Linked DNA regions of Sus scrofa. The protein of the gene in region 1 interacts with the protein of each later gene in a biochemical or structural test. Links are inferred from orthologs where the notes say so. Each region holds a gene or a part of one and is shown on either strand. Other genes may lie near its edges.

The links. The genes of interacting proteins can lie anywhere in the genome.
Region 2: the proteins of NFYA (region 1) and ZHX1 form a complex in vitro, tested with the Homo sapiens proteins (2 studies listed by BioGRID). The link is inferred for Sus scrofa from reciprocal best matches to the Homo sapiens genes NFYA and ZHX1.

Annotation. Positions count from the first base shown.
Region 1 is NC_010449.5:36,403,335-36,407,581, reverse strand, and holds the end of NFYA (nuclear transcription factor Y subunit alpha), read right to left. Parts: coding exon 4,097-4,247; intron 3,336-4,096; coding exon 3,234-3,335; intron 736-3,233; coding exon 682-735; 3' UTR 133-681; downstream 1-132. UniProt on the Homo sapiens protein: Component of the sequence-specific heterotrimeric transcription factor (NF-Y) which specifically recognizes a 5'-CCAAT-3' box motif found in the promoters of its target genes.
Region 2 is NC_010446.5:16,099,858-16,104,094, reverse strand, and holds the start of ZHX1 (zinc fingers and homeoboxes protein 1), read right to left. Parts: upstream 3,316-4,237; 5' UTR 2,904-3,315; intron 2,351-2,903; exon of another isoform or gene 2,152-2,350; intron 1-2,151. UniProt on the Homo sapiens protein: Acts as a transcriptional repressor. Increases DNMT3B-mediated repressive transcriptional activity when DNMT3B is tethered to DNA. May link molecule between DNMT3B and other co-repressor proteins.

The sequences.
Region 1 (4,247 bases):
AGCAATTTCTACGTTTAGTGCTTGAGTCTTTTGTCAGTCTATCCCGAGAGTTAACTTTTTCTTGGCCGGTGTCCAAAAATACCAACCTATCATCCGGGTGGACAGAAATTCTTATTATTACCACAGATTAGATGAATGTATCTCAGAGAATTTATTGTTTCCATATCATGAGATGGAGCTTCCTTGCCTGGAAACCATCTCTGAATACAAAGTGTTCATTAGTCAGCCTGAGATCCCCCAGCAGAGGGACGGGTGCTGTTCAGAATCCTTGGGAAAGGAGTGGGCTGCAGCTTCCCTGATTGCAGTTTAGGTTGAGAAGGTCATTCTCCTCTGCGGAGACGGCTGGCTGGCATCACCAGGCAACATAAGTGCTATGTGTGGTACTGCTAGGCTGGCATGGCTCCCTTGCATCATCCCAATCCATGAAATGTCAATGTCACCCACAGTCTGAAGGAAGTCCTGACTGAAAGGGCGAGACAAAGGCTTGCAACTTCAATTTGCCAGATATCACTGCAATTATAATACTGAACCACTTATTAAAAACTAAGTGGTTTCTGTCCTGTAGAAAAGGGCAGAATGTGATCGTCAGTGTCCCGTCGGAAGAGTTGATCAGTTTCCTTGGAACAGTGGGAAACGGTGTGAGGAACATGACCTTGATCAGCTCCATCACATGGCCTGGGGTTAGGACACTCGGATGATCTGTGTCATAGCCTCTTCATCTGCTTGATTTGGATCCTACAAAGAAATAAGTGTAATGATTACAGTCCTTTGCAAAAGCATCTGGGAACTCACTGCTCTCGGTACTTATCACCAAGAGAATACACAGACTTTGCTAAGTTAGCCAAAGGCCTGTAATACATCTAAGCCTGCATACATGGTTTTAAATGCAGCTCTATTAGCAAAGAAGAGACAACAAACCTTATTCTTAAAAAGATTCCAAGTCTGGACTGGCACTGCATTGCTCAACACCTCAGAGTTCAGAGAGTATCTCTTTCCTAAGCAACTGTGTTATGTTCTGCTCTTAAGGATTAAAGGTCCTTAGGCAGTTAAGAAAAAGACCCAGAGAAACCAAGTCATCCTGTATTTTTGTGCCATTATTTCCTGATCATCATATTTAAATACAAGCACTTAGCAGGGCTGGAAAGAACGTTGGAATTTACTTACTTTAATGCACTCCTTTTGTAGATAAACCTGAAGCCTGGATGTGTAAAGTGATTTGCCTGGACTAGAGTCAAAAAGTTAGTGAGGAACCCAGCAAGAACAAACTCCCAAATCTCTTGATTCCCTTTCAATCTTCTTTCCACTAAACTCTGCCTGCCTCTTACTTAAAACCTGCAGTGTCAGGACAAGGATCAGTCCTGGGAAGCTCTATGCAACACTCCAAAATAACCACTTTCAGTTCCCCCACATCAAGGCTCTGTGAAGCCTCAACTGGCATGATCCAAGAAAAAGTTGAAACATTTCTGGAGGTGGACAGATCAGAGGCTTTGAGCAAGAATAATAACTACCATTTACTGAGCTCTCACCATGTACTAGGCACTGGGCTAGGGAGGTGCCTAATGTTAACTTTTTGCATGATATCCCACTATTCTGTTACATTATCAACAGCAGTCCACTTTACAGGTGAAGAAAGTGAGGCTAAAAGAGGCTAAATTAATAGTTTGAGATCTGCTGCAGAAAGAAATGAGGAACTAGCATGCATCCCTGAGCAGGGGACTGCGATGATTAAGAAAGCACTATCTTATAAAGAGCAATCTGAAAATAGTGTAGATGGGATGTGATGGCACACAGAACCACGTACCAGTAAATGGGAGAAACCCATTAATTCAACAAACATTTACTGAATGGGCATTACACTAAATACAATCTGAAACAACAATCCTCTACTCTCTACACAGCTTAGTCTAGTGAAGGAGACAACTACTGACTACTGCACAATCACACAAATAAAACAATATAATTATTATCGTGCTCAAAAGAAAAGGAAGCTGTGAGGAAATTATAGGGTAAAGACAGCCACTCTGGATATGGCCTCTTAGATTTAAACCAAGACCTAGAAGATAAGGAGACAGCCATGCAAAAAAGATGGCGTGAAAAGCTCTACAGACCAGCTATTTAAAAAAAAAAAAAAGGTCCCAGTGCAGGAGACAGACCGACAAACACTATAGCAAGAGCATAAAGACCAAGCGCAGGAGGGAACAGAGCCAGAGGTGGGCAGGAGTGGATAATGAAGAGCCTTGCTGGCCATGGTAAATAAATACTACGACTTTTAACTTAAGTTCAAACAGAAAGGGTGAGAGTGGAAGAGGTTTAAGCAAGACAGTGATGTGATATATGATATATACTTAGAAAGACTGCACTAAGATGTGGAGAATGAACTAGAGGGTACAGGAGGGGAAAAAGGGAGACTAGGCAGCTGTTGTATTAAGTAAAGCAAAGAAGAGAGGGTTAGACTAGGCTGATGGCAGGTGGGAAGGCAAGAAGCTGATTTAGATTATATTTTAGTTAAAACCAAGAGAACTTTAAGAACTGGACAATTCTACCTTTAATAACTGGGTGAATGGACATGTCACTTGTTGAGGTGAGTGTCTGGTGAAGGCATTAAAAAAAAAAAAACAAAACACACACACACACACACACACACACACACACACACAAATCAAGAGTTCTATTTTGGATATACTGACTCAGAAATGCCATTAAGGTACAATTAGTGGAATGAGATGTAAGAACCAGTATGGTTACAGAGTAAACAAGTTCTGGAATTATACTGTCTGGGTCTGAGTTTCAGTTGCACCATTTTATTAAATATTTTACCTTAGCAAACTACTTAACCTCTCTAAACCTCAGATTCAAATATAAAATGCAAACTATAACTCTTACCTCATGTTACATTCAATGAAAAAGATGCTTATAAAAATGCTTAATGGTGGACACACTGCAATTAAGTGTTAGCTGCTGCTGCTGCCTACTACACTAAGAAACCCAAACTAGTTCTTTGAAAATCAAGTGATTCCAGAGGAATTAATAGTAATAACAGGCAAAGACTGGGAGGAAAAGAGGCCAGTGGTTTAAAGACCTTAGTTCTTTTAAGATGAGAAGGAATCCAAGATACATAATGTTGTATCCAATTTAGAGAGGAGTGTGAAAATATCAAGAAGACACTGTGAAGGCTTCCACCCAAGAAAATATAAAGCAGTAAAGAGAAGGATAAAAGGTATAAATTGTCCTACCTGCATATGGGGACTGTCTTTTTCCTTTGGAGAGAAAAATCGTCCACCTTCACCACGCTTCCGGGCCATGGCATGACGGTGCCGAGACTCATGCAGGTATTTCTAAAACAAGGAAGAAAATTATTAGCTGAAACCAGCACAGTTATCCAACGCACACATTCCATCCTCAAAAGTTTAGGACAGCTATGATCTAAGTGACCAGGGGGAATTATGGCATTGTATTATGGAGAAACATTCAGAGAAAACAGAAAAGCAGTTAACCTTATGCAACTATCATAAGAATGTAAATGCTAAATGAATAATAACTAAAAAAAGATTCCCTAAATATATGAGATTGCTACCTACTGCCCAATATATATTCTCTTTCACTTGAGTAACAACCCAAATTTTAGTTGGCTGCTCAGTAAAAAGTCTGTTTTCCCTAATCCGATTTGTAGGTAAGCGGCCACTGAATTTGGGCTAATAAGATGTATGGAACTTCCTGAATGCTGAATGTCATAAGACTGCCTTTCTAGTTCCCTTTGCTCCTAGGCTAGAGCCCAGGCAGTTACCTTGGACTATGGGTGGACAGTAAAATAGGAGGAGAATGGGTCTGGAAATGTGCTACCAGTCCAAGACAATTTATCTCTGGACTTCTTTTATGTAAGGAAAAAAAAAATCCTATTTACACCACAGGATTGTTTGTTTGTTTTTTTAAATATTGTAGTTGCCGCTATATCTAGAAATAATAAATGCTTTTACAAAAGATAACAGCTATCTAACTTCAATGTCTGGAAGGTACTGGAACCAAACCCTCTAAGGTTTGGTTTCAAAAGTAGAACCCTGCCATTCTTGTCCTACATCCTTCCCAGTGTTACACGTACCCTTCTTTCCTTTGGAATTTTCCCTTCTGCCTCTAATTTAGCCCGGGCTTGCCTCCTCTTAAGAATACGGTGGTACTGTTTGGCATTCACATAGAGAGGCTCTTCTTCAAGCATCTCTGCCCCGGGAAGAGGGATTCTTTGGATAGCAGGC
Region 2 (4,237 bases), on another chromosome or scaffold:
AAAAGGATTTTGAGTTAGAAAAAATTGCCATGTAAAAGTGAATGTGGCTATTACCACAAGTAGTGCAACAGATATTTCCGGACTCCTCCCTGAACAGATTGAATATGATATTAGGTTAAAAACTAGCTTAGGCACTGAACTGTTCATCATTGTTAGTATTCAAATAAGTACAGTCTTTTGAGCCCAAATCTACAATGCTGCAATGCACATAAAAAGGTTATTTCCTCAGCTATACTTGTAATCATTTTAGCAATTTTAAGAGCATTCCATTTAAGTATAAAGAGATAATTTAAAGCAAACCAAGTTCCAAATATCACATTTTTGTGCCCATGTAGCAAGAAAGAAAATGTATAGTGCATCATAACATCACCTTTCAGTCTCAATGTGAAATATAGAAACAAAATGAGCCACCCCACCATGCTATCAAGTTCATTCATAAACTGTAAAACTTTTTTTCATACTTAATGGAAAAAAGAACTTATAATACAAGTATCATTAAAGGTGAAACAACTGCCACAACGTTCATGAATTGTTCTCCAATCCAGTGAAATAATCAGCTCAGCTCACTATAAGGGAGCGACATCTACTAATGAGTTTTCACCAGCACAGGCACTTTATGTTTTCAGCCTTAGCATATTTTCAAACCATCTGGCATCAATGCCTTTCTGGTTCACCCAGCCTAATCTGTTCAGAATTGAATATAAAACTAGACCTACGTGCACTTTGGGGAAACCAAAGAACAGCATACATGAATAATAATGTTCCAAACAGCAGCTCTAAACTAGTTTATACTTGAAATGTGTTTTTTAAAATATTTCTATTGAAGACATTAAAGCTCTTTTTAAAAATACTAGAATGGTTCAAGAAATCTGTATGAGTCATAGCTGTCATGGGTTACCCAAATCTCACTTTCTTTTTTTCTTATTTTAATCTGATCACTAAATAAACCATTTGAAAAGATCCTTCCACAAAAGTCATTGATAAAAATGCTACCATTTCTATACTGAAAGGATCCAAAGTTTTACATCTTATTTTTCCCAAAATTAGTCTGCTTAGCCCTAAAACACTTAGAGTACGGAGGGAAAAACTAAGAGGGAAAAATATTCACGAAAGCCTTTTTTCTTTTATATCCTGTTACAGCATTATTGTTCTTGGCAGCTCTCACATTTCTTTTGCTTAAAAATCAAGAGTCAGAATTGCTACTTAAGAAATTGTTTAAAAAGCTATCGATATTCTAGGGCCAATATCCCTGTTAAAACCAAATCTGCTCATCCTCACTGCTGGCATAAAAAACAAACGACTTTTTCAGGATAATTTTTTAGAAGCAGGGATAATTCACGTAGCACCATATAACACAAGTTAAAGCTTCCAGACAAAGGCTGAGAAACAAGGACCAAGATCAGCAAATCTTAAGGTTAATTCATGTAGGTCATGTACACACATACACTCCAACCCAGTGAATAGTCACAATTCCTGGGAGAAAGCTGCTTCTTCCTCCCTAACTGTGAACCACTCTATTTCCCAATCTTGTGATTTTCCCTTTTCTGCCCTCCTCTTACTCTCCAAGACAATTGCATCTTCCTTTCAAGTTACATGGAATCCCAACCTAATCACATTATAAATTCTCAGTTACCTTTCCTGACATTTCCCCCCACCCCCCGCAAAGATTAGCCTCTTCGCACGTTTTTCTTTAGAGCTGGGGTGAAATGATAGAAAAGCGCTGTGGAATTCCCGCTCTTCCCAGTCTCTTCCCCCATCCCTCCTCTATCCATCCCCTTTCCCGCTTCCTAATTCTTCTACCCCAGGGCCAGGGAGCTTGATCCTAAACTAAGGATATCAAAGGGAACCTTTTTTTTCTCCCGGGTTTTGCATTTTCTTTGCTGTTACCCACGGAGGGGAGAGCTGGGATGTCGAATTGAAACAAAGAATTTCAAGTCCCTTTCCCTAGAACTTTGGAGTAAACACACACACGGAAAGGGCATCAGCCAGGGCTCTTCTTTCCTACCATGAGACCCCCTTCCTCTCACAGCTCCCTCCTAGCCCTTCACTCCTCGGAAAGATCTGGAAACCGTTCCCTTTAGGCCCTAAGGCTTGGAGCGGTCCCCAGTCAGCCTCCTCATCTTCCTCCTTAAAGGGACAGATAATATTTACATTTTCTTGAATCAACTTCTCCCAAAGTTCCAGGGCTTCTTCAAAACCTTATATAGTTCTTAAGGTCTCAACTCTGAGACTCGCCCCGAAATGGGTGCCCAGCCTCTCCTGAAGTGGAGGTACAGCCTTTCCCAGACGGGTTTCTCCGAGCTCCAACCGCAATGCCAGTGCGCTCAGCTCCAGCAAGAGATGACTCCCCAGACTCTCAGGGAGACCGAGTCCCCACGAGGCCACACGCCCCCGCAGGGCAGGGCCCGGCTCCCGATCTCCTCCCCAGGGACCCTCGACATTGCTGGTGCGCTCCGTCCCTGCGGCCCCCGCCCCCCCCCTTCTAAGGGAGACCCGGTCCTCACTCCCTTCAATAATCTCAAGTTGCTCGGTCCTCTCGTAGCCGCGGGGGAGGAGAGGGGTGCTGAGATTTCCCCGTACAAGCCCACCCTCAGCCCCTTCCGCGGCCGCAGAGACCCGAGAACGCAAAAGAGGCTCAGGGTCTGTCCCCCGTCGGCGATCCGGCCCAGGCAGGCCAGGTCCCTCCCCCTCGGAAGCCCCGAGCCGGTCAGCCTGGCCACTCGCGGCGCGGAGCGCGCTCAGCCCCCCGGGGTCTCTGCCCTCGGGCCGCCCTCGTCCAACCAGCCCGCGCGCCGCGCGCCTTCCCGGCCCGCCGCACTGGCCGCGGGCTCTGCGCCGCGGGTTCCTACCCGCAGCCCCGGATGCCCGGGGCCGCTCGTCGCGAAGCCCGCTCGCACCGCTACCTGCAGGGGCCGCCGCGCCTCTCAGCGCCCCGCCGCCGCCATCTTGCATTTCAAACCGGCTGCACTTTTCAAGGAGTCAACTCTGACCTGTGAACCCTACACCCGGAACCGCTCGGCGGTCCGGCTCACGGCTTCAGCAGATCCGCAGACTCGGTGGAACGTAAAGTCTGGGGTGGGGGTGCTAGGCCAGGCGCGCGCCCCAGCGGCCGACCCGGGGCGAGAGCGGGGGAGGGGAAGAGCCGGCCGAGGCGGGGCCCTCCCGCGCGCGCGCGCCCTCCGCGCGCCCCCACCCCGCTCTGCGCCACGCTTTCCACTCGCAGACCCTGCTTCTCCCCTGGGGTTCGACCCTGGCCTCCACCCCCGGATTGGCGCAGGGCGAGAGGTAGGGGGCCGCCCCGCCCCTCTGTCAACAGAAGCCCCGCCTTTTCCAAGTCTCGAAGCGGCCACGCCCCTTGCTGGTGTTAGCTCCGCCCGCTATCGGTAGAAGCCTTTTCTTCACTCAGGTCAATCCAGAAGGCAGCCCCGCCTTCTGTCAGTTGTGGCCCCGCCCCCGGGCGCTCCTTCTTCCTAAAGTCACCGCTGGATCCTGAGAAACGCCCCTTGTCATAAGTCCCATTTGGTGGCAGTACTGTCCAAGCCCGCCCCTTTCGTCGGGAGCCCCTCCTACTGTCAATAGAAGTCGGGTCTTTCTGAAACCCTTCGGGATTCTAGCCCGAAGCTCCACCCCCTGTCAGCTGCTGCCCTGCCACCTCTTGCCTCCAACTCCAACATCAAAAGCCGTCCCTCCACCCGCTGATACCAAAAGTTCGATCCAACCTCACTTTGAACCGCGGGGCAAGACGGAGCCACCCTTTGCTCCCCGAAAGCCCTCCCTCTCCCCCTCACGAGTCACTCTTGTGGGGGGCTTTCTTTTCAAGCCGTGGTCGTCAAATACTGAACAGCTTCAATGCGAACCAGCCCTGCAAAGGAGGCCGGCTAAGGACCCAGGCTTTGGGAAAAACTACCCTCCCCATTTCTCTTCGTCCCTTCTCCCCTCCCCACATCATTTTTTACAAGGAAAAAAGTACAGACCAAAGCAAAGGGAAACAAATCACCTTCCAGGCTACTCTTCACAGAATCTCCGGCCAGGACCTGTGGGAACTTTCCGGCGCCTTGATGTTCGTTCCCCGCCCCCACCCCGGGCATGGACCCTCTGCGCTTTAACAGCAGCGCTCCACTGAGCCACATTAATCCTAAAACATGCAGTTGCTTAAAGTGAAAGCCTGATGGTTGAAATCAGTGCACATCGGCTTCTTTTATTTGTTTGTTTTATCTTAGAATACTAGAACTTGTGG